Linked DNA regions of Tamandua tetradactyla. The protein of the gene in region 4 purifies or fractionates together with the protein of the main gene of each other region. This does not show direct contact. Links are inferred from orthologs where the notes say so. Each region holds a gene or a part of one and is shown on either strand. Other genes may lie near its edges. The genes, in order: EXOSC1, EXOSC3, EXOSC2 and EXOSC10.

Region 1 (7,229 bases), on a different chromosome or scaffold from region 4:
ACGAGGCATTCCATTAACCTGTACAAACCAACAAGATCTCATGCCCTATTCAAGAGTCCATGTAGTTATGGTGTTCAAATAAACTGACCATACAAGTTAAATTAGGTAAGCTGTGTGATATATATACATATATATTTTGGGTACATGGTACAGGATTTGAACCCAGGTCTCCCACATGAAAGGTGAGCATTCTACCACTGAACCAACCATGCACCCACTGCATGATATTTTAATCACTGTTTCTCCAGTTATTTTCAGAGCAACATTTAAATTTGCTGCTGGAGCAACTGATAAAGAGAAGAACTAAAAGGTACAAGTTAATTTTCCCTGGCAGAGTATGGGGATGGGCATAGAATATTACATGTACAGCATTAATTTGTACTTCTGAAATACCCTAAAAGACTTTAAATTTACAGACATGCTAGAAAATAGACTAGCCCTTTGTTTCTCTGCAGAAAAAGGTCTCACTTTCAGATGTTCAAAAATAGGCCTCCCTATACCTATGGCACTCCTGTTTCCCCGACACAGGTACTACATGCTCAGGGAACTGGCACAATGAAATAACTACAAATGCTTGAAACTGGCTATCTTGGTCATTATCCTAGAACCCTGTAGATAGCAAAAAATTCAATAAAACATTCTGTGATGACAGAAATGTTCCGTACTGACCAATATAGCAGCCACTAGTTCATGTGGCTTGTGCAACTGAGGAACAAAATTTTAAATTTTATTTAATTTTAATTTATTTAAACTTAAATACCCATATATAGCTAATGGCTACCATATCAGTCAGCACAGATCTAGAATGATCATGATTTCAGCACTGGACAGGTATCATAAACAAGGAGATAAAGACCAACTTACCTTACAGGTTACAACAGCCCCCACATCTGGCAGTAATTGAGACTCTGTCTCTCTCACCACAGACACCACAGGAAGCTACAAAAAGAGCAATTAAAAAACGGTATACCGACTAAGCCTTGGATAAAAGTATTCATGGCTTAAAGTAATAAAGAAATGCCTTGGTCCAGAGAGGTTAAAAGGGCAAATGAACTATGGATTTTTTTTTAGCCCATAGCAGAGTATCTGAGAAATAACAGGAGGACCAAGAGGCCATGGGAAGAATAATGCCAGAAGACATAATTTAACTATTTCAGAGAAGTTTTAATATGTTTTGGTGATATTCTTGAAATTTAGTTCTACAACCATATTGCCTACAATTGCTGATAACTTGCCTCGTTTTTCCAAAGTTATACCAAGTCTTAATGTAGTTTATTGCACAAGGCTAAATTTCCAAAACAATGTTTTCTAATAGTAGCCATACTTGTTTTCTTCTATGTTAAGAAATTACTTATAGAATTTTTTCTTTGAGCCTGGTATTGGCTGTTGCTGTAAGATAGATATTTTTGAGCCTCATCTTTAATCATTCTCTTCTTTGCCAACTATGCTTCAGCTCTCCTGACCTTCTTTTAATTTTCCCAACTCACTGAATTTCCTCCCATCTCAGGATCTCTATTTAACCTGCTCCTTCTGCCAGGAATGCACTCTCCCCACCTACCCAACCCTTATTCTTCAGCTTAAATGTCGCTTCTGCTGACTAGGGTGGCTTTCCTGTTACATGTTCTCACGGTGCCACGTAATGTTCATTTGTGCATTTAGTTCTTTATGATTTGTTTCTCTACCCCTTGCCAGCAGAGACCATGTGTATTTAGTTCATTATTACATCATCAGAGGTCAGCACAGCACCTGGAATATGAAAACGTTCAACAGACATCTACAGAATGAACTTAGGAACGTTAAGAACAGCCTCCCAATTGAAAATGAATAAAAAATTTCTCATTTTACAGATAAGAAAGAACCTAAAGCCAGTGAGTTTAAGTTTCTTACTCAAGGCGGAATCAAAGTCTAGTTAAGTGTTCTAATTCTGAATTCTTTCTACCGTGGCACCTGCCTTTAAGTTGTTCCTTCAAAGACTGCTAATCCTGGATCAGTCTCTGGAACTAGGGAGGACAGTATTACTCACTCAATAAATATTTAATGAGCGTCTATCGTGTGCTAGGTGCTGAGTGTACAACAATGAGGCCTGCTTTCATGGAACTTAAGAGTCTAATGGGAAACACATAAGTGAGTGTTTAATTAATCGCTGAGATGAATGCTTGGAAGTAAAGTTCTCTGAGAATGTTTAGCAACACAAACAAAAAACAAACACCAAAAACGCCTTTCCTCAACTATTGGATCGGGAGGGTTTTTATGAGAAAGTGATGCTATCTGAAGGATAAGCAGATATTAAGTAGACCAAGAGGTAGAGGAGAGTGTTCCAGACAGATGCGAATGTAAGAAGGCTCTGTGGCAAGTTAAGAGTACAGCGCATTAGCGACAATGAAAGAAGCTGGTGTGTCTGGATTGCGGCGAGGTGAAGAGTGGAGGGAAATGAAGCAGCGGGGATTACAGATGGAAGAAAATCAGAGACTAACTCTCAAACGTTTTACTGGCCAGGCACTAAACAGGTGTTCGCAGCGCCCCTGCCTAAGCGCATGAAAATCAAGAGAAGCCCAAGGAAAAGAAGGAGACAGAAGAGATGGGAAGCGGAGCCTTTACCGCGCCGTTTTCGCTGCTCTTCGTCATGCAGCCGGCAAGGGAGGAGAAAATGTAGCCGTGACGGGTGTAGGTGCCGCTGCCCGGGCTTCCTTCCTCCAAATTGCACAGCCGTTCGCCTGCAGATAAAACACTGCATCAATTTCGGGGCCCCCAAATGTGCTGGCCGTCCAGCATCCTTGCCTCTGTCCCCATTCAGGACTTTGCGGGCACTGCTCGCTTACCAGGGACGCAGTACCTCACGGGCGGCGCCATGACTAACCCCTTCCGAAAGCCCGGATGAAAATGAGGCCAACTCCTCATTGGACTGGCCGAGGTGCAGTGCCGCAGTAACAAGCGCGTCAATTGGAGAGCTTCATCGGGCGCTCTCTGGAAGCGACTCCTCGAGGGTTAACTCCATTTCCCAGCCTGCCCCGGGACAAGTAGGGCCGAAACTCCCGGGATTTTGCGCTTGCGCTTGTGGTTCAGGATGGGCTGGCGGTGGGTCTGGGTCCTCTGGCTGGCTCTGCGCGTGGCGGGCCATGGTGGGTCGTGCTGAGCCGGGCTCGGCCGGGGTGCCGAGCTGGAGGGTGTGGTAGTAAGTGGTGGCGAAAGCTGCAGGACTCGATTTCGCTGATTGGGCAGCTGGCAGGTAAGAGCAAAGCCGCAGTCCTTGCTCCCTACTTCAGTCCTTTTTCTAGGGTCGGGCCCTATCCCGGGATAGTTCTCCATCTACGTAAGCCCGGGTTCGTGCTCTTTCGCCACGCTCTGTGTGCAGGCCATTCCGGGCGGAACAGGACCAGGTCCTTGACCAATCCAACGCACCCATTTCACGGATTTGGAAACTAATCCGGAAAAGGATTTGATTTGTGCAGTCTCGAAGATAGTTCAAGGTAGAGTTCAAACTGGAACCCACGTTTTTGTTTTGCTTTGTTTTGATTTACTTCCAGTTCATCGGGCTTTGACCACGAGCCCTCTTTGAGAAGTAAAACCTTTTCCCTGTTTGTGAAACTGCAGCTTCAGATCCTGCAGTAGGATTCCCTCAAGAGGAGCTGTAGTCATTTGAGTCCGTCCTTAGCTTTTGATGAGCATCCCCATGATAAAGTTGCTACTTTTCCCTCTTTGCATCGTGTTAGCCCGTAAAGGAAATCTTGTACATGAATAAAATGCTGTTTTACTGATGCTCACTATGTGCTGCTTGAGATCGCAGTCCTCATGAGAGCAGTATTTGTCCAGAAGAGGTTTGCCACGACTTTCATCTCAGTTTCCTTTGCCTCCTTGTGGTGTTGCAATCTGTTTCTTCTTATCTCCCACCCCTACCCCTCTCCCCCACGTAAATGGTGACTTAGAGCCTTAGAAAAAGAAACCCGGAGTGATGAGTGGCCTGCAGTCCCCTCTAATCGGATGGCAAATCCCACTATAGCCTGTGGCTACTACCGAGGGATCAGAGTGTTCAGGGCTTTGTGCTTGGAGGTGATAGTGAAACGACAGTGTTCTCTTTCTTTTCCCACATTCACTCGGAGATCACCACCCCTTACCCCAGCTTTTGAGTGCCCCCTTACCTCAATTTCCTGAGATGAAAATGCCGTATGTTCAGTTATGTCCCATGAACTGCATCTCTCTTCCATGTCATCCCCATCCCCTCTATATCCTACTAGCTAAAGTAAGGGGGTAGGGGGCTAGCTTCAGACCTTATTTACCCAAACCTGATCTGTAGCTATGCATCTACAAACTTTCTATTTACATATTTGAGTTTATTTCAGTTGGACTTATTTTTAAAAATGCCTTCTAGGTCTTAAGTACTATGATTCTAATAACGGTTTCTGTTTCTGTCTTTGATCAGAAAGAATGATAGTGGCAGACACTCAATGTTGTCACGTTGGTAGGAGTGTCTTTGCTGGTATTTGTAGGTCAGATAGGCATGTGATCAGCCTTTCTACTTCTGTATCCCATAACCAGGTGTTCTAGGTCATTCATTCATTCACCAAGTATTTATTGAGCACTTCCATGAGATAGGTATTGTGCTAACCACTTTCATTTCATTTATACCTTACCATATATATATCCAGACTAGGTTAGATATGGAAGGGACTTTAGCATTTAGTCCTACTTTCTCGTTGTGTGCGAACAGAAGGACATTGAGTCCCAGCAAGGATCAGTGATTTGCCCAAGGTCACAAGTGATGCTTAGGGGCAGAGGTGAACCCGGTAAAGAATGAATCTGATTTGCAAGCTACTGCTATAAAAAGTATTTTAGCAAATAGAAAACTCTCCATTAGCCATAGTTAGGGAATAAACAATGGTGTGGACAATCCAAAAGTCACCAGAAATTGTTGTGGGGTAGTCTGTTTACTCTCACTGTTGTATTTGATTGTGGCTGTTATTTTGAAAATTCATTCTTTAAGCGAAATCATGGTTCCAAACAATGGTAGTTCAACTGAATGAAGGTAGGAAAGTTGAGCTTTTCCTTTTTCTCTTTTCTATATGCCATCCCACATGCCTTAATACTCTTAGCTTCCTAGGAGGTAATGGGAATGGCCAGTTTCTTTATCCTGGTGCAGTGTGGGTCCCTATTCAAATGTCTTTCTTCACTTGCTCCGTAGGCCTAGTTTGTTGAGGTTTTTTTGTTTGTTTTTGTTTTTTGCCTTAGGTAGTTGCAGGGCTTGTGGATAGAGGTAATGAAATGTTCTCTTTGAAGGACCTTTTGTGGGGATGAGCCAGGGTTCAAGGAAAATATAGTGCTCCAGTTACTGAATTGAAACCATCCCTAGAGTGGAGCAGCCTCCTCCAATTTCTGCTGGGTTTTTAGCTGCCTGTTAAATAAGTCAGTGCAGTTGCTAAGGACAAACAAAGCAGCCTTCCAAGGCCACCCTAGGAGAAAGTTTCTTTTCTGGTAAAGAACTTCTAATCTGCAGAATTGATGAGACTGTCATTTTAAGAACCTGCCAGAGCACTGTGTTCTATTCTGGGGATCGGCTGGGCAGCCAACCCTTTTTCCATTGCTGTTGAATGAGTTAGAAACAACGTAAAGGAGATGGAAAGCACTTGTAGAGCAGCTGTGGAAAGTGCTAAAGAGCTGGGAAGGCTGGGGACAAGTTTGAAGCCAAGGGCAGCAGCTATAGAGAAGGCTTTTGTGTCCAACTTGAACAAGGCAGAGGAGACTTATCACTCAGAGGGCAGGCTCTGTGATTGTCCTGAGCTGCCAACATGGGGGCCCCTTCTAAGTACCAGTGTTTCCTGCCTCTAGTGCTATTCTGCCCTAAATACCTGAAGTTGTCTTCCCTTCTGTATCCTTGTAGTGGTTCTGGGACTAGAATTGAAGACAAGGCATCTTATATCATGCAAGGGATGGCTGAGCTGAAGTGACAGGCAGACAGAGAATCTCATGCTGTTAGGCTGAGTTGGCTGGCCTGAGGGAATGGGAAGGAGTACCTTTGTCAGGACCCACGGCATCAGGGAAGATCTAGGTGTAGGATCCCTTTGCCATGTGCTCACTCCCCGACTTAGAGGAGCTTGCTGTTCCTTGGTGAAGAACAACCTTTAGCAGGTAGGTTGATGAGTCAGGTTAGCCTGTTAGACCCTGGGCTGCCTGTTATAATGGCCAGGCCCACAGAAACACATGGATATTTTTGTACACACTCCACCCACTGGTCTGTCTACATAGATCATTCCAAGGATCCTGCTTTACCTTGGAGCTGCCTACCTGTCCTTCACCCCTTTGCTGTGGTCCTTTACCCTAGATGTTCATTACCTTGGATTTCTGTGCACCCAAGTGGTGGAATGTAAATGGAATTTCTAGACTCATAACCTCCAGTTCCTATTTCATGTAATCTGTTGGGGACATTGGCATTGTACATTCACCTGGTCACTGGCCTAGCTGGGCTCGATATTAGGTCTTTGCCCTCTTAAACTGGTACTCTGGATTCCCCACTGGCAAGGATAGGGAAGGAGAGGAACCAGACTTGATACTCACAATAGTGTGTTTTCCTAGAAGTCATGCGGAGCCAGAGGAGCCTGCTGCTAGGCCCAGCCCGTCTCTGCTTGCGCCTGCTTCTGCTCCTGGGCTATAGGCGCCGCTGCCCACCTCTGTTGCGGGGTCTGGTGCAGCGCTGGCGCTATGGCAAGGTCTGCCTGCGCTCCCTGCTCTACAACTCCTTTGGGGGCAGCGACACTGCTATCGATGCTGCCTTTGAGCCCATCTACTGGCTGGTGGACAACGTGATCCGCTGGTTTGGGGTGGTGAGTGATGCCCAGGGAGCAGGAAAAGGGATGTTTTGGGATAGGAAAGGGATATGTCTCTGATGGACCTCCACTAGGTTTTGGAAGCCAGCTCCCTACCCTTCAGGATATTCCTGAGTCTCTGCTGGGTGTTGGCAAGGCTCCTTTACTGGTTCTACCTGACCCACATCTTCAGACTTCCTTGGTATTGGCAGGTGTTCGTGGTGCTGGTGATCATATTGACCAGTTCCATTGTGGCCATCGCCTACCTATGTGTCCTTCCCCTCATTCTCCAAACCTACTCAGTGCCACGACTCTGCTGGCATTTCTTCTATAGTCACTGGAATCTGGTGCTGATTGTCTTCCATTACTACCAGGCCATCACCACTCCACCTGGATACCCACCCCAGGTCAGTTCCCATAAGGGCATGGGGGGAG
Region 2 (7,192 bases), about 160 Mb from region 4:
CTACTGTATTCACTCCATGGGACTTAAGTGCTACATGCTGATGCTCCTACTGTTTGCTGTGCTAAGAGTAATAAATGTCTTAATGTGATCCACTTAGTGTGTGTCTACTTAAGTAGACCTCTCATCTACTTTTGGTACCTAAGGAGTTGTGGTAGGTGAAACTGCTTGCTTCCTTGATCATCTCTTTGGATTCTAGTTACTTCTTGCTCTCCTATGAGGTTTATCTTATTTCCTGATAATTCCCACGCAGAATTTGGACTTGCTTCTGAAGGCAGAGGGGCAAGGCATGGGAGTTTCAAAGTAAAGAGAATGACATGGTCAGAGGTAGAATCTAAGATGAGCAGCAGCTAAGGGAGAAAGGAACAAAGGATGAGAAGTGAAGAGGGTGACCAGTTAGAAGGCTGTGAAAAGGCCCAAGAACAGTGGTCAAGGTGTTGGAAAAGATTGAGAAAGGAGGAACGGGAAGACCCATCTCTTAGGCTGATTCTGACAGAATTTTCTCTGATGTGGTTTTGGAATTGAGGTTTTCTTACATAGCAAAATGTGTTGCTTCCAAATGCTTATGAGATACAGTCCAGATGTCCTACCAAAATTTATAAAAGGCCTCATGCTTTTGTTATTCTGTCCTCCTTGCTCTTTCCCCTCCCCTTCCTCACTCTTCTTAGAGGTAAGTGGTATTATCACTATTATATCACTGAGGAAATTGAGGCACAGAGAAGTTAAGTCAATGTATGGATACACAACTGTTCTAGTTTAGTAGCTATGGAATGCGATATACTGGAAACAGAACAGTTTTTAAAAGATGGAATTTATTAAGTTACAAGTTTCAATTCTAAGACTGTGCCAGTCTGTAAAAATGTCCAAATTAAGGTACCATCAAGAGGTTATCTTCACTCAAGAAAGGCCGACAGAGTTCAGGGTTTCTCTTTCTCTCAGCTGGAAAGGCATATGGTGAATATGGCAACATGTGCTAGCTTTCTCTCCAGGTGTCTTGTTTCATGAAGCTCCCCTAAGAGCGTTTCCCTTCTTCATCTCCAAAGGTCTCTAGCTGCATGGGCTCCTGTGTTTCTCATGGCTCCTGTGGCTCTCAAGTGTTTACCAAAATGCTTTCCTCTTTTAAAGGACTCCAGTAAACTAATCAAAACCCACCTGGGATGGGTGGAGTCACATCTCCATCCAATCAAGGTTAATACTCATAACTTGGCGAACCACACCTCTGTGGAGATAATTTAATCCATTTTCCAACCTATACTGCTGAATTAGGAATTAAAAGAAATGGTTGCTTTAGAAGATGCATCAGGATTAAAACTAGGGCTTGACTAGGGCACATAATCCTTTCAAACCCACAATACTTACTGTTAACTGCAGTTATTTCTAGGGAAGTAGAGAGAAATGAGGTTGCAAAGAGACTAATTTTATCCACTTCCTCAATGTTTCATTTTGAAAAATTTTTTTCAAAATTGTTTTAATTTGTCAAAAGGAATATAAAATGACTAACAAAGCACGACATGACACACACATTACAAAATAAAAATATGAGCCAGAAAGATGTTTCCTTATTTTAGAAATGCAGATAAATGGCAAAGCTGTTGAAAACCAGAAAATCACGTAGTTTTAAGTATTTGTAATTGGTGTTATATTATGATATGCCAAGACAAAACTTAAATGCCATTCCAAATAAGAAAGAATGTAGCTTATAGCAGCATGTAATTCAGATTGGGGGTAGGGGACACCAGGCCATATGTATTTTGTAGAACTGTTAACACAAAATGTGGTAAGGAAAAAAAAAACAGGTGGTCTTATGTTTTACTTTCTCCAAATAAGTGCTATGTTTAAGAAGTTATGGTTCATTGTGATTAAAAACATGTCACAAGGAGACTTGTCATTTGTGCTGTGTTAACTGGGAGCATTTATGCTTTTGGATTAAATCCTGGAATTGAAAAAATACAGTAATACTCCCATGGATATTTTACTATTAATTTCAGCGTGTATTTCATTTGTAATTTTCAGAAACCAGTAAAACATTTCAAAAGCTCACTCGAGTGCCAGGTATGCACTGTCGCGGTTGACACCCTAGTCAGTACTTATACAAGTCAACAAAACACTCCGGTATTATCATGTGTCAACAATGACCTTTCCTAGAATAGGAACCATGATTCAATTGATTCCCCAGCTGGTCCAGAGCAGATGCTAACTGAAACGAAAAAAAAAACCTTACCGGTCAACAAAGAAAAGCTACCTTAAGATGCAGCTTTTCAATCTTCCAAAGTAACAGGTTTCTAGAGTCGTTCAGGGAGAGTCCAGAAGGCCGCAGTCAGCTCCAACCTTTCCGAAGGGCAATATCCCCGAGAGAAATACTCAAAAATGGCGAGGTGTGCGCCAGGAGGCACACGTGGCAGCACCGCCTCTTCCGCACTGGCTACAAACCCGGGTTCCCCAACCGAGAAGGGGGCCTGATACACCGGGTGGGGGGGTCCCGCCAGGAAACTCAGGCGCGCCGCCGCGGGCGCAGTCTGGCCTCGACGCCCCGAAGCACGCGGGCCGACTGCGCGAGGACTGAGGCCTGCTCTGCCTTCACCCAGTCTCCGAGGCTACAACCAGGAAACCAAGCTTCGAAACACGAGCTTCGTAATTGCTACCCCATGTTAAGATCCGCGAGCCGCCGAGTTTGCGGCGGTGGTTTAGAGCTGGGCGCCGTACATTTCGCAGCTTCCGTTTCCCACCTGCGCGAGGCTAAGCCCCTGCCCTGGTCCCTGAAGGGACGCCGTGCGCTCTCACTCGCCGGCGGCCGCAGGACGGCGAAGCAACGAAGAACCCACCAGGCGGTGTGAGGCGTAGCTGGCGCCCAGCCTCATGGGCCCCGCCCCGTCCGGGCCGGCAGTGGGTGGGCGACGCCCTGGACGCGTGGTTGACCCGACCCCTCCAGGCCCTGGATTTGCTGCCTCCACCGGACTGTGTTCCTCGGGGCCTCAACTACTTCATTTGTTTCCTTTGAATTGCCAAATGGCATTCCCCCAGGCCACTGCATTTGATTGGGCTCCTCAGCCAGCTTTGTACCGAATTTCTTCCAGGCATCCCACTACCAACATAGGGTGCATGAAAAACAGTTTGAGGAATATTTCCTGGGTCCCTTTGTGCCTCATCTGGGCCTAATGTCATTGAGCACCCTCCGTGCGTGGCCTTGGGTCAGCTTGATCACTGAACACCTACTGCTTCCAGGACCTCTGCTGCTGGACTGGAGAGGGACGGAGAGAAGCCGAATCTACACGATCCTTACCCCGGGACCTCTCACATCTGTCAGGGAAACAACCAAGGACAGTTCTTACAACAATATGATTCAAAACAAAATTACATTTCAGTCGGCCTCTTATTACATCCAAGGAAAGTGGCTCGCCAGCATCTCGCCAGGTTTGGAGGATGTTACAGGTGATGTCTTAAACATCCTAAAAATCTACCATTCGCTCTGAGAAGCGAATACCTCACACATCTGAACATCAGAAATGAAGGGCAGCTAAAAGCCATCGGTCAGGGCTACGCCCTCTTAATCCTCAGGGGCTCTCGCCACTGCTGAGGAATCTGACTAAAAACCAATAGAACGCGCCAGTTGACAGAGAAAATGGCGATTTCAAGCAAGATCCCTAGAAGTCATAAGATCAGGAGCCCCGAAGTACTATGGATTTACAATTTAGCTGCTTCTCTCAAGAGCAACAAAAAATGACTCAAGGGAAAGTAACCACAGGGATTTAAATATAGCCACTGATTTCCTCAGGTCATGCAGGGGTAGCTCAACTGTGAAGATGTGTATATAACCTGTATATTTACAGGGAAAAAAAAGTTAGGGAGAAATATACACTAAAATGCTAACATTCATTCATCAGCTATTATCTATTTCGTGCCAGACGAAAAGGAATCAAGGTTACAAGGATTCAAAGAGAGCCTAGCAAGTGAGACAAGCATGGGCGAGATCATTATGCTTATTTTCCATTTTTATTCTTTTCTCTAGCAACAATCAAAAAGGCTTTATTTTGACAAAGAAAAGACTTCCTGGTAAAAAGTCAGCCACCATTCTGGGAGCGGGGGTGGTACGGTGAGGGGCAGGAAGGACTATGAACTCACCCAAAAGACCAACTCCCGAAGCTCTCTGCTCAGTTCCCAGGGTTCCTACGGCCCATACGTGGGAGCATCTTGTATCCCACGGTGCGACCGGCCACAAAACGCGTATGCACAGGGAAGTGACGGCTTCGTAAGATTCAGACTGAGTTTTCATACGCACCCGCGGACAGACTGCAACATAGGCGGCCAACTAGAGACAAAATCACAGCCGCTTTTGGGGAACGGCGGGCTCACAGCGGTTAGGCGTCTCAGATTTAGACCCGACTCCAACGCCCACACCACACCGCCGGAAACGGAAAGCCCTGGGGGGCTGGATATTGGACGCGCAGCCGGAAGTGAAAGTTTGCCCGCGATGGCTGAGGCGACGGCGATAACGGCTGAATCCCCTACACTCTCCAGGGCGCGGGTGGCGCTTACAGTGCTAGATCAGCTGGTGCTCCCGGGTGAAGAGCTGCTTCTTCCGGAGCAAGAGGAAGCAGAAGGCCCTGGCGGTGCAGGGGAGAGACCGCTGCGCCTGAATTCTGGGGCTCGTTCGCGGGTGCGCGTGGTGTGCGGCCCGGGTTTGCGACGCTGTGGCGACCGCCTAATGGTTACCAAGTGCGGCCGTCTTCGTCACAAGGAGTCGAGCGGTGGCAGCGGCGGCGGCGGCGGCGGCGTTTATTGGGTGGACTCGCAACAGAAGCGGGTGAGGTGGGGCTCCGGAGGGACGGTGCGGCCGCGAGAGTGGTGTCCCTGCCTTAGAACGAACAGGGAGGGAGCCCTGGGGAGGCGCCTCTGTTGAGAGCAGTCTAGAGTCAGGTTAGAACCTAGGGGATTCCGGGAGTGGATGCTGGCTCGAATCTACAGACTGTCACAAGCTGCAAACCTGAGGATTTAAGATGTGATTGTTTCTCTTTTACTGAATATTATCAATTTTTTGTAAATTTTGTGTAAATAATTTGAATTTCAAAAATATTTTCTAAACATCTCTTGAATAACAAATATATTAAAGTAACCACTAAGGTCGTGATGTAGAGAATTTTCAGGATGTCTTGGAAATGATTGTCATTTATGGCTGTTCTCCTGTTGTTTTCTTTTGTAGTATGTCCCAGTGAAAGGAGACCATGTGATTGGGATAGTGACAGCTAAATCTGGAGATATATTCAAAGTTGATGTTGGAGGGAGTGAACCAGCTTCTTTGTCTTATTTGGCATTTGAAGGTGCAACCAAAAGAAATAGACCAAATGTGCAGGTAATGATGGGGGCCTTTGGTTTCAAAAAATAAGAAAATATCCATTCCTTAGAATGTGAAATATCCAGAATGCTACCAGAATTGTCTTCAAAGTATGACCTATTTTCCCTACTCTGTAGGGGAAACATCTGTGTAATCACCCCAGGCTCACAGAGTTCCTTTACATGCTTCAGCTCCTGGACCAAAGTCACATACGTTTATATGTTTGCTACATTCATTGGAGGATTGTTCCATCTCTGCTGAGTTGAATGGCTGTATCTGTTATCTTCGTTATTATGGGCACTGACAAGGAAGTCAGCCATAGGCTCAGGGAGGGAGGAGGGACAAGTGGTATAAATTTTCATATCCATCCATCCCCGTTATGTAGGGCCTGGGACTGGCATCTCACTGTTTCCCAGCAATCTCCTGGAGCTGACACAGAAGCAGTCTTGTTAACTCAACTTTTCACTTTGGGCTTTTCAGGCAGTATAGCCACATTTTCCCTTTTCTATCCAAGCCAGAAATTTGGTGGTTTCTTTGTCCCTTTTTACTCACCTGTCATGTTTTCAGTTGCGTAATCTTTTTTTATTCTGTCTCATCTTCCACATTCTACCCCTTTATCTCCAGTTTGCAAGTTCAGGCCTTAGCTAACTTTTGACTAGACTTGGTCCATGACCTCCTCATTAACATACCTGCCTCCGCATTTTTGTCTGTCCATCCAAGCTTTTCAGAGCTGTCTTTCTCACACACTCCCTTTCTCAAAACATAAATAGTTCTTCAAGGCTTACAGAATTTCTTGGGATGACACTCTAAGGATCTTGCCTCATCCATAATTATATCCTCCATACAGTTTGAGCCACACCAAATTATTTAACAGTACCACTAAACTCGTTAAGTAATTAACCGCCCTTGCACCTTTGATCATGCTGTTCTGTCTGGATTGTTCTATCTCCTTCTCAACCTAAGAACACAGGCTTATCCTTTGAATCCCAGGCCAAACACCACCACCTCTATGAAGCTATCCCTAATCGTCAGTCATTTTTCTTCTAACTGCTCTTGTACTTAATGGATTCAGCCTTGAATGAAGTTTGTGGTTTATGTATACATCTCACTGCCCTCTAAGACCATATGCTTCTGAAGGGAAAAGAATGTTTTGTTCATCCCTGGCTCCATAGTCACCACCATATAGCAGGTACTTAAGTGTTTTATTGAGAGAACAAAATAAGCTCACTTGTCATTTCTTTAGTTTCATCATTTTGAAGTTCAGTTAAAGTTTTAAATAAACCTTGCCTGAAGAAGTACCAGTGAATTGCTCCTGCTATTTTGCTTAAATAATTTGCATGCTAGGAGTTCCTTTCTCTAGTCATAAATTTTCCAGAATCTCCTAGAGCAGGGCTAGCTAATAAAACTTTGTGATGATGCTCATGTTCTCTGTCTATGATGACAAATACGGTAGCCATTAGCCACATGTGGCTATTGAGCATTATAATGTGGCTAATGCAGCCAAGGAACTGAATTTTAAATTTTATTTAATTTTAATTTAAATAGGCTTAATTAGCCACAGTTAGCTAGTGGCTATCATATTGGACATGAAACCTTAGAGTGTTCTCTGGCCTTGAGATGGCTTCCAGTCTGGGAATTTCCTGAGGGGTAAAGGAAGAAGTACACATGCTAATTCTGTCTTCATCAACTCCAGAGCACTGGATCCTGGAGTGTAGTCAGTTTCTTAGACACAGACTAGAAGTGGTTGGCATTGCTGCTTCTAGGAAAGAACTAACAGCAGTATCTAGTAAATGGTTTGCTATGATGAAGTGAACTGTTATTATTTATCATTGTAGGTTGGAGATCTCATCTATGGCCAATTTGTGG
Region 3 (6,937 bases), about 160 Mb from region 4:
TTAACTGATAATCTTGCAGAAGCTGGTCCCTCTGGATTTCAGGATTTATCTGATTTAGGAACCTTCCAGGAATTATAGGTTCCAGGAAAGCAAACTTCGCACATGAAACCTTTATAGAGTATCAATTTGAGCCCTGGGTGTTCTTAAGAGTCAATAGGAGTGATGGTGGTTGGGGTTTAGCAAACCATGGCAATTAGCAATAGATCCAAATTCTTGACTGAAGAGATGTCTACAAACTCATGGGCATGTTTAACAACCTCCATAAACAATATGGCTGTTTCTATTGTTTTTAGGAGAAGCAATACTGCAGTGAGCCTTTTTGTGCAGAAATCTTTGTGCATATATCTGATTAGAACATTTGTCCTGTTACTGTTATCATTTTAATGGAACACGAGGAGGAAGCCAGTGGGTGGATAAGGATTGTGGCAAGAGCTCTTGCAACAGTCTCCGCTGCCTCTATTTTCACGTTTCCCCATTCGTTTCCTTCACTTGAAGTTCACATGTCTTCTCACCCAGCTTGTCAGGCTCAGCAGTTCCCTCATGTCAAGGCTCACTCACTCTGTCAGGAAGGCTTTTCTGTTCCTTCGCTCCCACCCTCATCTCTGAACTCCTGAGCATGTGGAGAGCTGGGGCAGCAATGATACATCTCTGTAAACCCCACCGTGCCGGGTGCCATGCTTGCTGCACAGTGGGTGCTTGGCAGGTGTTTGCTGAATAAGTTCATTTGTTCATTCAACAAATATTTATTGAGGGTCTTCTTTGTGTCAAGTATATAGTTCTTGGGGCTGAGGATACAGCGATGAACAAAGCAGACAAAGTCTGGGCATTTGTGGAGCTCACATCCTGTTTGTGTGTCGGGGGCGGTGCACAGATGATAAGCAAACAAACAGGGAAATGTATATTTTGTAAATGTATCATTTTTATCAACAAATATTTTATGGGTGCCTTCTGTTTGCCTGACATGGTTCCAAGTGTTCATATAAGTTGTCCAAAACAGATAAAGTCTTGTTCTTAGAGCACGTGTGCTCTAGGGGAGGCCCTCACAGCAAACAACCAAAGAAATAAACAGGAAAACTCAACGACCAAGAAATAAAACAGCTCAAATGATTAAAAAAGAAAGGACCAGAGGGCTATTCCAGATAAAGTGGTCAGGGAAGGCTTCTTTGAGGGGGTGCTGTTTGAGCTGAGATCTGATTGAGGAGAAGGAGCCAACCACACAAAGACCTGGGAGAAGAGGAGAATTCTGTGCAGAGAGTTAAAAATGTACTGATACTGGGGTGTGTGGAATAGAGAGGAGGCCCAGTGCAGCCAGCTTCATCGTAGCCAGTAAAGGGAGTGGATTAGATGGCGAGTGAGATCCAAGCCAGGCAGGAGCCAGGTCCTACAGAGCCTCAGTGCTCCCCAGTGATGAATCTGAATTTTATTTTTAGTCTACAAGGAAGCTGCCAGAAGTGTTTCAGCCTGGAAATGATTTAATCAGATCTCTGTTTTAAAAAGATCACTCTGGCTACTGTATGGAGAACGGACCATAGGGGAGGTGAGGCCAGGTAAATATAGAATTAGGGAGGCAACTGAGGGGGTTATTACAGTCACTCAAGTGAGAGGTAATATCGATTAGTCTGGGGCTGTGGCCGTGAAGCTGCACAGATGGGGAGGTAGATGGACATTGGGGGAAATTGGCGAATGTTAAATCTGATCAACTATAAATCACTCAGGGAGTTAAAATACACCCTCACAAGGGGTACACGGATAGTTCAGTGTCAGAATGCCCACCTTTCATGCGGGAGAACCGGGTTCGATTCCTAGACCATGCACCCCAAAATACAAACAAACAAAAAATCTTTGCAAAAAAACCACCCTCACAGACTTGTGGACCCTACCCTTGAAGAGCCTCGATGCCTGAATCTGGGTCCAGGAATCTGTATCTTTATCACATCCCTCAGGGGTGTGCAACAAAGTTTCTGGGTACTCATCTCTCTACATGGTAGGAAAGAAGCAAGTATAAAACACCTAGCAAAGGACCAGGCCATTGGGAAGTGTTTGATAAATGCAAGCTCTACCTCAGTGGCCTGCCACCATTTGCTGTGCGAATTCTAGTCATTTCAGTTTCCTCACCAATAAAAAAGGTATCCATAATTCCAATGTTGTGACAAGCTTGACCAACTGCAAATACTGTGAGAATGGGAGGGGTTTAGGGTATGTCCTTCCTTCCTGGAATGAAACAGGATGATGTAAGTACTTTAACTCACTCCTTGGTTGCCAGCATTGTGGAGGGATGGGAGGGCTTGTCTCCTCACTGCCTGGGCTGTGCTGGCTCACAGGGCACCACTGCCACCATATGGCCATGGTGAGACTCAACAGATGGGTCATTTTTATTTTTATTAACACTTTTTATTTATTTATTTATATCAGAATTTATTCAGGTATAATCTAATTACTTTTATTTTTTATTTTTTTAAATTTTTATTGATAAAACAACGTACAAGCACATGAATTCTTAATGTACAAACATTTCATACATGGTGTACAATCAGTGGCTCACAATATCATCACATAGTTGTATATTCATCACCATGATCATTTTTAGAACATTTGCATCACTCCAGAAAAAGAAATAAAAAGAAAAAAGAAAACTCATACACATCATACCCCTTACCCTTCCATCTCATTGACCACTAGTATTTCCATCTACCCATTTTATTTTTTAATTTTGACATTTGTTCCCCCTATTATATATTTTTAATGCATATATTTTACTTATACCAGATGGGTTATTTTTGCACTCTCTTCCTCTCTAGTGCCTTCCTCAAGGCAGAGAGAAGGGTGAGGGTCAGGTCTGCCTACTTGCCAGATGACCAGTGGATCACTCAAATTTGTATCAGGTTGCCTCACAGGCCTGGCTTTCTTTACAAGTGTAGTTCTGAGCATTGCTTGGGTGAAAGAAGTGCTATCCTTTCAGCGATTTATAAAACAATTGGTCTGACTGATCTTTAGGAGGCAGCCGGCCTGATTTACTGAGCACAACTGTGTATGTATGAAAAATTGTCATCTCCAGTTCCCTAAGGATGAGACTGTTTGCTGTAAATGCTATAAACCATCCAGGGCAAGTCAGGGACAGGGAAGTGAAACCCAGGAGAAGACACCAGGGAGAGGCTCCTACAGGACCTGGAGGTAAAGCCACAAACACCTCGGTTCTCACTCAATCCTTAGAACAGTTGGGCACACAGTGCTCGATTTGCTGTATGAAAAAATGCAAGTGATTTTCTTTTTGTACTGTGTGTGCATTTGTTCTCCTTGCCAGATATGCCTGCCTTGCAAAGTTTTCTTGGATAGCTTTTTTCTTTTTCAAAATCATCTCCTCTCACTCAAAATAAATTATTATGAAAGGACAGAACCAGCATGGACCTGGAGCTCTGTTTCCGGATATAGAAGACGGTCGGTATTGAACCAGCATGCATCCGGCGGTGGTGATGCAGAATACTGGAGTTAGTAGGAAAGGTGTGAAAAGGGGCTCTTCTTTCTATGTAAAGAAATGTTTTCTGTTGATCCCACCTTCCCATCCTCCTGATTTCGCTCGCTTGTACACTCTCCCTCTCTTTCACTCGCACACTGAGACACATAAAGGCTTAGAGTTGAAAGGAAACTCAGAGGTCCATTTTTCCAAATACTTCCAATCCTCGTAAGCAATAAATAGGATGATGAGTATGAGACAGTTTTGGTAAAATGTCAGGCGTCACGCAAAGTGAGATTTTTATACTGTCATTTCACGGGGGGAAGCCTTGACAATATAACAAATACGACAACTTGGCTGCGGCTTTCCCCTAAAGTTAACCCAGCGGCTGCCAATAGCCAACATGGCCGCCCGCCCGCGGGATCCCATTGGTGGATGCCCCGAGGCCCCGCCCCGCGCTGTTCCTCCGCCCCTGGAGCTAGGGAACTGCGGCGCCGGATATCGCGGCTTCTGGTACTTGGCGCCAATATGGCGCTGGAAATGAGGCTTCCTGTTCCTCGTAAACCTCTTAGCGAGAATCTGGGCCGCGAGACTAAGAAACACCTGGTGGTGCCGGGGGACACGATCACTACGGACACGGGCTTCATGCGGTAAGTGGGGACGCGGGGGCCTTGGGCCCCAGCAAGCAGCTCCAGGGCTCTCTGCACGTGGCCTGATGGGCCGAAACCTGGGCCTCTGTCCGGTGCGTCTAAGTCTCCCGGAACCCAGGGCACAACTTCAGCGCATCCCATTCGCCAGTTTTCCAAGGCCTCTGGCTTGGGATCCCCTGCATCTTTTGTGTCCCCTTCGGCACCTGTCTCAGACTCCCGAAACCCTCCTCTCCTGACTTCTGGTACCCGTGACGCCCGTGTCCTCTGCCTGAGGCCAGGTCTCTGAGCTTTCTTCGTTGGAGTCCTGAAAAACCGAGGAGGGTTAGGAGCAGGGGCCTCTTTCCGGTTTTCAGCTGTTTGAGGGAACAGGGGGCTTTCCTGATTTGGCCTCTTTCTCACTTAGGTTCATCTCGGGGCCAGAGGTTCAGTTTTGGAGTCAGTAATTGTTTGGGCTTAGAGCAAACAAAATACACGAACTTTGAGTCTAAGGGCAGTTTAATGGGTTCTAGTTAAGGAGCAGATTCCCGAGGCAGTTCGGGTTCCAGTCCTCTCCCTATTCTTAGCGGAAAGATCAGTTTACTTTTCTGTAAAATAGTAACAACAGTAACTATCTGATGGGGTAGTGAGGATCCAATGATATAATGTAAAGAAAGGAGTCAGAAACCACCATTATCCCACCACTACCACAGATAATATAAACCTTTTAGTGATGCTTCAGCCATTTAAAAATTTGGTACACATGTGCTATTACATACGTGAGAACTACGGCTTTTACAGCATTGTCCTTTAACCTTTTAGTGTGATGTTTTAGGATCCTAGGAAATCTAAAGATTCATTCCTTCATTCATGCATTCAGCATATATTATGTGTGGTTTGTATACAACAGTGAACAAAATGAAAACCTCTGTCCTGGTGGAGTTTATATTCTAACAGGGAGAGTCAGATAATAAACAATAAGCAAAACAAAGAAATTGTGCAGAATGTTTGGTGATCATTTCAGGGGAAAAAATAAAAAGTTGAGCAGAGTAAGTGGAATGGGATTGGGAGTCTGGTGAGGGTGGTGGGATCAGGATGGTTTGCAATTTTAAATGGGACACATAAGGTAGGCCTGATGAGGAAAGTGACATTTGAGCAAACTTGAAGAAGATGAGGGAGATGTCCGTGTAGCTGTCTGGAGGAGGAATATTCCAGGTTCCCGGCTGGGAGAGCAGCCAGTGCAAAAGCCAGGCTTTAATGTGGGAGGAGCCTTTTTGGTTTGAAGAACACGTTTTTGAGGGGAGAGGTCGTCTCAGATGTTACCCTGGTATCCTATATATCTGTGTCTTGCCACAGGGGTCATGGAACTTATATGGGGGAAGAGAAGCTCATAGCATCTGTGGCTGGTTCTGTAGAGAGAGTTAACAAGTTGATCTGTGTGAAAGCTTTGAAAACCAGGTGAGAACAAAAGGTGTGTATTCTCTTTCTTACTGCATCCATGTTGCATGACCAGATTTCCCCCCTCTACCTGCCCCCATCTGTCCGATCATTCTGGGGGATCTGAAGCTTTCCACATGACTATAGGAATGGTGGTAAAGGTAAATGTGGGCTGCAAAGGTTTCCCCACATTACTTAACTTCTCCAAGCTTTGGTTACTTCCTCTGCAAGATGAGGAGAATAGTATCATCTACCTTGTACAAATTTCATCAGAATCTAGTGAAATGATGCACTTAGCCCTGTGCTAAGTGCCTAGAAGGGCTCGGTAAATGTTGGTCCTAGAAGGATGTCAGTGGGGTTAGAATAGAGTGAGCAGAGGGGGAGAGAAAGAACAGATACAGACACAGAGCTGAGGTGGGTGGATAATCTGGCCTGCCTTGAAGGCCTTTGTGAGCATTTTGGCTTCTACTTTGTGAAATCTGGGAAGCCACTGGAGAGAATGAAGCAGAAGAAGGACACAATCTGTGGTTGGTTTTTTTTTTAATTTTTTAACTGTTTTAGTAAAATCACTGACTGCTGTGGGAATCGGGGCAGACATAGGGAAATGGATTAGAGGACTGCTTTGCAGTCCAAAGTGCTGATACAGTGGAAGTAGGGGTATTTGATTCTGCATATATTTTGGAGGTAGAGCTGGCAGGATTTACTGCTGGGCTACTCATGCAATTTGAGAATTAGGGAATAATCAAGGCTGACTCTCCAAATTTTAGCCTGAGCACCTGGGGGATGGAGTTGCCATTTACTGAACTGGGGACAGCTGGGAGAGGTGCACGTTTCTGGGAGTGGAAGGGAGTGGCATGAAGCTTATTTTTGGGCTTGTTACATTGGGAGTGCCTATTCATAATCTAAATGGGGTTGTTGGGTAGGTAGCCGTTAAATAGTTTGGGCTTGTTACATTTGGGAGTGCCTATTCATAATCTAAATGGGGTTGTTGGTTAGGTAGCAGTTAAATAGAACCTGGAGTTCAGGGTAATGATACAGTTATCAATGGTGTCTAAAGCCATTAGATTGAGTGGACACACTGAGAGATGAGTGGTTAACTGAAAAGAGATGAGGTCCAAGTCTGAGCTTTCAGTACTGGAACACTTCATAGTTAGAATTAAAGCGATGAAGTACTTGCAAAGGGACCTGAGATGGAGCAGCCAGTAGCTTCCCTCCCAGGGGGAGACAGCGAGGAGACCTATTTGGGGGGCATTCTGTCTCAGAATCTCATTTCTCCTCTTTTGACTGGTACTAAACCCATCTTTGTTCCAGAGCCCACAGGAAAATTTTCTGTGTTTTTTATTGTCATGTAATCTAACAGAATAGGGATTTCAGGCTGAATGAACTATTTGCAGAAAGTGATTTAAGAATAATTAACAAGATT
Region 4 (7,867 bases):
GGTCTTTGGATTTTTGCTGTCAGTTCCGATACAGGAAGGGTAATGGAAAAGAAGCCAGAGCAGTGATAGAAGGAGACGAAAAGACAAATTTATGATCTGGGATTGTAACCTCAAGGACCACTCGGGGCTCCGCTTTGATTACTTGCCCGAGGCATGCTTGAAGAGAGGGTAAAGGGGACGTGTCCCCTGGGACCTCAGTAGGCATCAGCACTGGCCTGGAAGCGATGAGTATGCCTCACACAGTTAGTTGTGGGAAATCTCAGGGAGTGTCCTGAGGATTATCAGACCTTGATCTTTTTGTTTTCCTTGTATCTGTGTAAAGCTTTGAAGAAGCTCTTATGATTAAAATATTCCTTTTTCTGTCTGTCTTCCTAGGTGTCCTTTCTGGTAACTGGAGGCCCAGACACGCCCACAGTGTTTCTTGTGAGGCTTTTGTACTTTGGTATATGTATGCTTCCACTAAACTGAAACTATGGTCAAAAAGTTTGACTTTATTAAATATTTTGAAATGTAAATGAAAAAATAACTACTGTATATTAAGAGTTGGTTTGAACCAACTTTCTAGCTGCTGTTGAAGAATATATTGTCGGAAACACAAGGCTTGATTTCGTTCCCAGGATTGTAAAACAGTGTTGCCACATAAATCAAGCCATTGATTTTGGGGAACAGAAGATCCATAATTTTAGAAATACGGGTTTTGACTTAACTCACAAGAGAACTCATCATATGCATTTACTGGTAGAAAAATGGCCTACTCATTCCTCTCAACCCAATACAGCAGACTTAGTGCTGTCAGGAAGCTTTAGGTCATGGAGGAAACATAGGAGGATTCTGGACTATAACAAATCAAGAGGAGCAGACTTCATCACTTCCTCCCATCCCATGATTTCACTGGTCCGTGGACAACAACAACCACAACATCATCAACAGCATTTGCAAAATGGGCCAAAATGGGTGAAAAGGGTCTGTCTTCTGCTTGACCCAGTGACGCCGCAAATTACACACTTCAAACCAAGACCTGAGCTGCTAAGAGGGGACTTTATTGCTATTGCTAGACAGTTCTGCCAAGCAAACGCAGGGTGGGGATCATGGTGCAATGGGGTGACCCAAATCCGCCTTCCTTGGCCTGGATCTTGGATGTTTTCAGTGAGTTCTGTATACTCTGTTTAGAGCAAAGGCTTGAAAAACAGAAATACTGTCATGGAGGTGCTGAACACAGAGGGAAGGTCTAGTACAGGTTGGGAATTATGAACAAAATAAATATTAAACTAAATGCACAAAGTATAAAGTATAGCCATGTCTAGACACCATGTATCTGATACTTTTTGTGCCAATAAATTACATCAGAATTTTAAAACACACATATGGGTAGCTTTTTATTCCTAATAGAGAGTTCAAAAAAAAAAAAGCATTTATTCCTTCACATTCAGCATTCATTAAGCACTTAGTACAAGGATAACAAATGACATGGGTATACATGACGTGGTCCCTTTGCTCAGCATGTCTACAGGCCAGAGAAGGTGGAGACGGCCTAACAGGAAATAAATGGATAACTCCACTGCTAGCTAAGTGGTGAGAAGAGCCGTGAACAGAGTGTGAGCCACGGAGGGCTCACTCACTCCACCGGGTTAGCCAGGAAAGTCTCATGGATGGTCTGGAAGAATGAGTGAGAGCTTTCCTCAATAGAAAAGAAAGCGCAAGTCATCAAGCCATGAATGCACAATATTGTGCAGGAATGGCAAGTATTAGCTTAAACCATATGAATCTGCAGGTATTCAACCAGTTTTTATATACAAAAATGGCAATTTCATATGGTTGGTCCTCATAGTTCAGCAGGTGTGGCTTCAGGGGTCAGTGGAGAAAAACTCAATGACAAGGAGTTTGGGCTTGAAGCTGTCAACAACAGGGAACTAGCTGATTTTGTGTGTGTACTATATGGCAGGGATCACATTTCATTCTTTTTCCATGTGAATAGCCCATGATTGTAGCATTATTTGATGAATTTTTTGTTTGTTTTTTCTCTTTGTTGCTTTGGGAAGTACACGGGCCGGGAATCGAACCCAGGTCTCCTGCATGGCAAGCAAGAATTCTACCACTGAAATACCCTTGCACTCCACCCCCGTATAAATTTTTAAAACAGGAAGAGAATCCTAATAGTATTTTGAAAAAGGCAAGTAGTGACAAATGGATGTAAAGAAAATTAGAAGCCAGAAGGCCCAGTAAAGAGGGTGTTGCAATGCTGGGGAGGAGAGAACATTAAATGGATCAGGTAATTACTTATAGATTCCCTCTGAAGAGCATACCTAAAGAGAAGTTCTTCCAAGAAATTTATTTTTTAGTTGTTTGTATTAGTTAGGGTTCTCTAGAGAAACAGAACCAACAGGGAACACTTGCAAATATAAAATTTATGAAAGTGTCTCACGTGACCATAGGAACACAGAGTCCAAAATCCACAGGGCAGGCTGCGAAGCCGATGACCCCAATGGATGGCCTGGATGAACTCCACAGGAGAGGCTCACCAGCCAAAGCAGGAATGCAACCTGTCTCCTCTGAGTCCTCCTTAAAAGGCTTCCCATGATTGGATTTAGCATCACTAATTGCAGAAGACACTCCACTTTGGCTGATTACAAATGGAATCAGCTGTGGATGTAGCTGACGTGATCATGACCTAATCCTATGAAATGTCCTCATTGCAACAGACAGGCCAGCGCTTGCCCAATCAGATGAACAGGTACCACAACTTGGCCAAGTTGATACCTTTCCCTAACCATGACATTGTTTAAGTGAAATTTTTTCTCTAAATTTCTGTTGTCCACAACTACTCAGTGAGAAACACTGTTTTGTATAAAAATTGTTCAAGGAACTTGTATTATGGGGAGCCTGAGAATCACAAGGTCAGGAACCACATCATAGGTGTCATTGCACCCACAAAATCTGAGAGAAAACCTAGCCCTAGACAATTTGTTGGAGGACTTTTCTTTTAAAGACAAAGATACATTCAAATTTCAATAGTGATACTAATAACGTTTTCAATATTCACAGTGAGGAAGTCTCATTCTTTTTTGAAATTTTCTAGAAGAGTCCTAAACCAAGTCTGATTTGTTCTGACCTCCTCGGTTTGAGATGAAGTAACTAGCAATGACTACAGTGATGTTACCTTTTACGAAAATTAAAGGGTATGGGGATGGGTGAACTCAGGAAAATGGTGGCCATGAGTGGTAGAGACATACTCAGGGTTTGAGAGTCATTGGGATTAAGATCTTTGGTGAATCCAATGGGTTTTAAGTGATTTCTAAGCAAAACCTTCTGGTTTTGAAGTGAATTATCAGAGACAGGTGAAGAGCTACTGGAGGTCTTTAAAGACAGTCTAATTAACCCATCAATCCTGAATGGTTTTGTGTAACCCTGTGTGAAGAAAGGGGTGTGCAAAGAATGACTTTCCAGATCCTTCCGTTCCTAGGGTTAAAACTACTATCAATAGATTGAAATACTAGTGATCAATGAAAGGTAGTGGTAAGGGGTATAGAAAAAAATGGGAACAAAGGTTAAAATATATTGTGTAGATGGAAATACTAGAGGCCAATGAGAGGCGGGTAAAAGGTCTGGTATGTATGAGTTTTTTATTTTTTCTTTTTATTTCTTCTGGAGTGATGCAGATGTTCTAAGAAATCTTAGAAATGATCATGGTGATACACAAATACGTGATGATATTGTGAGTCATTGATTATACACCAAGAATGGAATATTCACAGGTTAAAAATGTTCATGTTTGTATGTTGTGTTGTTTTGTCAATAAAAATTAAAATAAAAACTACTATAAAGTAGTTTTCAAGAGTCAAGGCTGCAGCATCGAATTATTTAGTTTCAAATCTCAACTCCACTTCATACTGTGTGACTTTGAACCAGTGCTGTTTCCTCATCTGAAAACCTGGTTAATACTACCTCTACCTCTTAAGGTTTGGGTGAGGATGAGATAATCCATGTGGAGCATTTAGCACACAGCCTGAATGTTGTGTTATGAAATAAGTGTTCAAAAATATCAGTCATTAAAATGAACTAAGCATTTCTTCTTTCAGGGTGCTTGTGTACCTGAAGTACACAACTAGGAAAGAAAAAGTGAAAAACAAGTGTCCTATTGATAGGATATCCTGAATTACCATAATTGCTAACATTTATTGAACACTGACTGAGTCAAATGAGATCTATTAAGGGTACACCACCTCTGCTCTGTGCACATAGACGCAATTCACTCCACAGGGCTTCCGGGAATCCATTTTCCCCCATTCCCCAGCTACCTAGCAAAGCGGTGCCTGCCTCATAACAAGTCTTTGCTGAGTTGCATCGTATGCCTTAACAAGACAGGTTCCAGTGGGATGCACGAGAAGAATGTCTAATCGAAACGGTTCAAAAGCACGTTTGCAGGCTAGGAAGTACAGCGGTAGCGTAAAACTCTTTCCAGAAGTTTTCCTACAAAAAAGGTAAGAGAAATATGGCAGGGCCTGGAAGGTGGGGGCTCGGTGTCTTCCCTTTCTTAGTTGGGAGAGATTTCAGCTTAGGGCTGTGTTGTTAGGAATGAACCAGGAGCGAGGGGAGAGATGACGATGCCAGATGGCGGGGATAATGACTGTGGCCAAGATCTTAAGTGGAGAGGGGCATGGATCCAGGGCCTGGAAGGTGTTAGCTTTACACAGGAGATGACTGGGTCCGCCGATTCCCTCGCTAAACCAGAGGATCGTTAGGAGGATGCAATATGAAATTAAAGGAAATTTTTAAGTTCTCGGGGTGGGCGTTCAGGGTTATTCACCCAACTGAAACCCCTCTGGCCCTCTCCCCTCTGCACATGCGTCCGGCGTACACGTCGCGTTGGCGCGTGACACTCTCGCGAGAAGCGCCGTAAAGTCCGCAAACATGGCGCCTCCCAGTCCCCGAGATCCTAGGTCCCCGCCGGCGACAACCGCGACCAAGTCCGACGAGGAGATGGTGCTGCCCGGCTTCCCCGACTCCGACAGCTTCGTGAAGGTGAGTTCGTAAGTCCTCGGAGGCACCGGGAGCAGATCAAGGCCGGACGGAAGCAGGCCCAGGTCCTGTAGGCGGCAGGCAACGCGCGCGTCCCGCAGCGGAGCCTCCAGGGCGGGTCAAGGGGCCTCTCCCCTCGCTGGGCAGAGTCTCTTGGGTGTCTTCCTCCGGAGATGGGGCCCCGGACAAGGAAACGGAGGGACGCTCCATTTCCCAGAGCCCTCGTTCCCCGAGTTGAGGCCTTGCAGCCCTTACTGTGCAGAGCGTTCTCCACACCTTGGGGAAAACTCTCTCGTCACCCTGATGTCTCCAGCCCTCGGCGACCTCGCCCCCGCCCGTGCCTGAACCATCCGGCGAACTCTCCGAGGGAACTTGACTGCTTTACACCTCCCACGTCTGCCCGGCGGCCCCCCTTCCCACGACCGGCGGGATCTTTCTTCCCTCTTCTGACGTCCAGCCCTACGTAATCCCCAAAGCCCAGATACAGCTATCGTCGAGTGTCTTTCTTCTAATTATCAATATCTCAGAATAGATTGGAAACTCCTGGAAGGAACAGAGAGGGTCCATTTAAATTATTTGTGTAATGCAGCTTAAAGATGAGCAAAATAAAACTAGGTTTAAACACGTCATGCATGCCTCTTATGCAGCCATGAAACATAATTTGAAGTTAATATTACTTAACCCCCCCATTCCATTCATATTATCTAATGTACTAGTAGTAGATACTTTTATTAATTTTATTTGTTTGGCCTTGAGTAGCTCGCAGACCACTAACTGAGGTCTTGATCATGTGGAGTTCACACTCACAAGTCACCACATACCCCACGTTGACTCGTTTTCCACCTCCTGTCTCATTTTTTTTCATATTTTCCATTTGTTCTGTCTCTCCCCACTCTTCAAGATGTATGGTCCGAACCTTGGTTTTGTGTTCAGCCTTGTCTCCTCAAGGCCTAGTAGACTAAAGAGTAGAGTCAGTATTAAATGGAGATCTGTTGGAGAGATGAAGATTGGCTATCTTTAGCATCTAACATAAGGTACCATGTGTTGTAGATCTTCAAGACATGATTGCCAAGTGGATGGGGATCTGTGTTTAAAACGCCTTCTTTTCTGGTTTTTGACAGTTTGCTCTTGGGTCAGTGGTGGCAGTTACCAAGGCATCTGGGGGCCTACCACAGTTTGGTGATGAGTATGATTTTTACCGAAGTTTTCCTGGCTTCCAGGCATTTTGTGAAACACAGGGAGACAGATTGCTTCAGTGGTAAGTACCATACATTCTTTCCCCAAGTTAATAAAAGAAATGAAAATAAAGAGGTAGATTTTTCCTGAAATTTGTTTTTCCTTACCATAATCTTCCATGCTTATAAAGTGCTACAAAATGTGAAAAAATAGCCAAGAGGACTAGGAAATTGTTATTTGGTAAATTTTGAGTTTAATTTTTAAAAAATGTATTGACTTTTGCACTTATACATAACAGAGCTTAACTGAATTAATATGGGCCTTGAAAACTTAGATCCAGGTTTCTTAGTCCCATGACTTGCAGAGTCACACATATTAACTTTCTACCTAGTACATTAGGACAGTTAATGTACAAACGTTAATTTTGTTTACCCTTTGCATGACAAGAGTTGGAGAAACTGCTTTAGACTTGCCATGTTAAAAGAATGAAGTAAATGTAATGTACATTTATTTACATACTATCATACTTTTTTTGGAATTTAAAGAAATCAGAAATTTCTTCTGCCCCTTCGGTTAACAGATGAGGAAAGTAAGTCTTAGCTAAATTTAGGGAATTGCCCAAAGCCACACAACTGGCTGTTTCTTTGAAGACTGTCATAACGGTACAGATTTTATTAATTTGAAGAAAAGGCATTGGGAACAGCCTGAGCCAAGCCATTTGAGCTTTCTTCCAGATGGTGAACAAATAAATAAATGTACACACATTTACCTGGGTGTCCCTCCCTCAGCATGAGCAGAGTAATGCAGTACCATGGGTGCCGTAGCAGCATTAAGGATCGAAGCAAAGTGACTGAATTGGAGGATAAGTTTGATCTCCTAGTTGATGCTAATGACGTCATCCTGGAAAGAGTGGTGAGTATTCTCTTATTCTTATGATAACTAACAAACAAAGAGTTTTTGTCTGATTAAAAATAAAGAGCAATCCAAGTACCTTAGAAAATAAGGAAATAAATATACAATTTCTTACTGGTAATAACATTCCCTTCCTTTGACCAGTGGTTTCTTTTTATACAAAACTAAGTATGAATAACTTCAAATTATTACTGCCCCATAGAGGCCTCTTTTAAGGTGCTGATTAAAAATCCACCTTTGTATTACAAGAGAAGCAGCCTCTCTATCAACCCAATAAAAATTTAATCATTTTTACTTTGTTATTGAAAACCTTATCGTTACCTTGACTCTCAGGATTGGAAGAAGATATTAATCATTCAGACTAGCTTGCCATCTGTTTATGCCCAATTCTACAGCAGAATGTTATTTACAGAAATACACGGAGATTGTCTAAAATAAATCTAACCTTTAGCCATGGGATGATACTGGAGATGTTTAAATTATGCTCTCCTGTCCCATGAAATCTATCTTCTATATGAAATTATGCTCTCCTGTCCCATGAAAACTATCTTCTATAGTTTAAATGTCCACAGATCTTGCAGCTATTTTTTGTATTTTGTGATTTCAGGTTCTGTCACTGCTGATCCATCATCTGGTGCATTTTCATTTGTGGTGCCCAAACTCATAGTCCACATCTGCTTTGATAGCACAAAGTAGATCAAGACAACCATCATCCTCATTCTAAATACTTCTGTAATTAATATATGCTTTCTGGGGTGTTTTT

Evidence for each region.
Region 1: the proteins of EXOSC10 (region 4) and EXOSC1 purify together in Homo sapiens (co-immunoprecipitation; 8 studies listed by BioGRID and IntAct, counting the BioPlex papers as one, with this or other methods). This does not show direct contact. The link is inferred for Tamandua tetradactyla from reciprocal best matches to the Homo sapiens genes EXOSC10 and EXOSC1.
Region 2: the proteins of EXOSC10 (region 4) and EXOSC3 purify together in Homo sapiens (affinity purification with mass spectrometry; 8 studies listed by BioGRID and IntAct, counting the BioPlex papers as one, with this or other methods). This does not show direct contact. The link is inferred for Tamandua tetradactyla from reciprocal best matches to the Homo sapiens genes EXOSC10 and EXOSC3.
Region 3: the proteins of EXOSC10 (region 4) and EXOSC2 fractionate together in Homo sapiens (co-fractionation; 9 studies listed by BioGRID and IntAct, with this or other methods). This does not show direct contact. The link is inferred for Tamandua tetradactyla from reciprocal best matches to the Homo sapiens genes EXOSC10 and EXOSC2.

The regions. Positions count from the first base shown.
Region 1 is NC_135339.1:58,766,488-58,773,716, forward strand, and holds the start of EXOSC1 (exosome complex component CSL4), read right to left. Parts: upstream 3,017-7,229; 5' UTR 2,899-3,016; coding exon 2,820-2,898; exon of another isoform or gene 2,715-2,819; coding exon 2,599-2,714; exon of another isoform or gene 1,756-2,598; intron 940-1,755; coding exon 865-939; intron 1-864. Other genes in the region: palmitoyltransferase ZDHHC16, read left to right, coding at 6,570-6,812, 7,007-7,201. UniProt on the Homo sapiens protein: Non-catalytic component of the RNA exosome complex which has 3'->5' exoribonuclease activity and participates in a multitude of cellular RNA processing and degradation events.
Region 2 is NC_135328.1:57,303,562-57,310,753, forward strand, and holds the start of EXOSC3 (exosome complex component RRP40), read left to right. Parts: upstream 1-4,189; 5' UTR 4,190-4,465; coding exon 4,466-4,798; exon of another isoform or gene 4,799-5,026; intron 5,027-5,194; coding exon 5,195-5,344; intron 5,345-7,161; coding exon 7,162-7,192. UniProt on the Homo sapiens protein: Non-catalytic component of the RNA exosome complex which has 3'->5' exoribonuclease activity and participates in a multitude of cellular RNA processing and degradation events.
Region 3 is NC_135328.1:53,593,840-53,600,776, forward strand, and holds the start of EXOSC2 (exosome complex component RRP4), read left to right. Parts: upstream 1-3,929; 5' UTR 3,930-3,979; coding exon 3,980-4,101; intron 4,102-5,433; coding exon 5,434-5,535; intron 5,536-6,937. UniProt on the Homo sapiens protein: Non-catalytic component of the RNA exosome complex which has 3'->5' exoribonuclease activity and participates in a multitude of cellular RNA processing and degradation events.
Region 4 is NC_135328.1:214,317,997-214,325,863, forward strand, and holds the start of EXOSC10 (exosome complex component 10), read left to right. Parts: upstream 1-4,860; 5' UTR 4,861-4,908; coding exon 4,909-5,019; intron 5,020-6,137; coding exon 6,138-6,274; intron 6,275-6,980; coding exon 6,981-7,104; intron 7,105-7,867. Other genes in the region: serine/threonine-protein kinase mTOR, read left to right, coding at 376-391. UniProt on the Homo sapiens protein: Catalytic component of the RNA exosome complex which has 3'->5' exoribonuclease activity and participates in a multitude of cellular RNA processing and degradation events.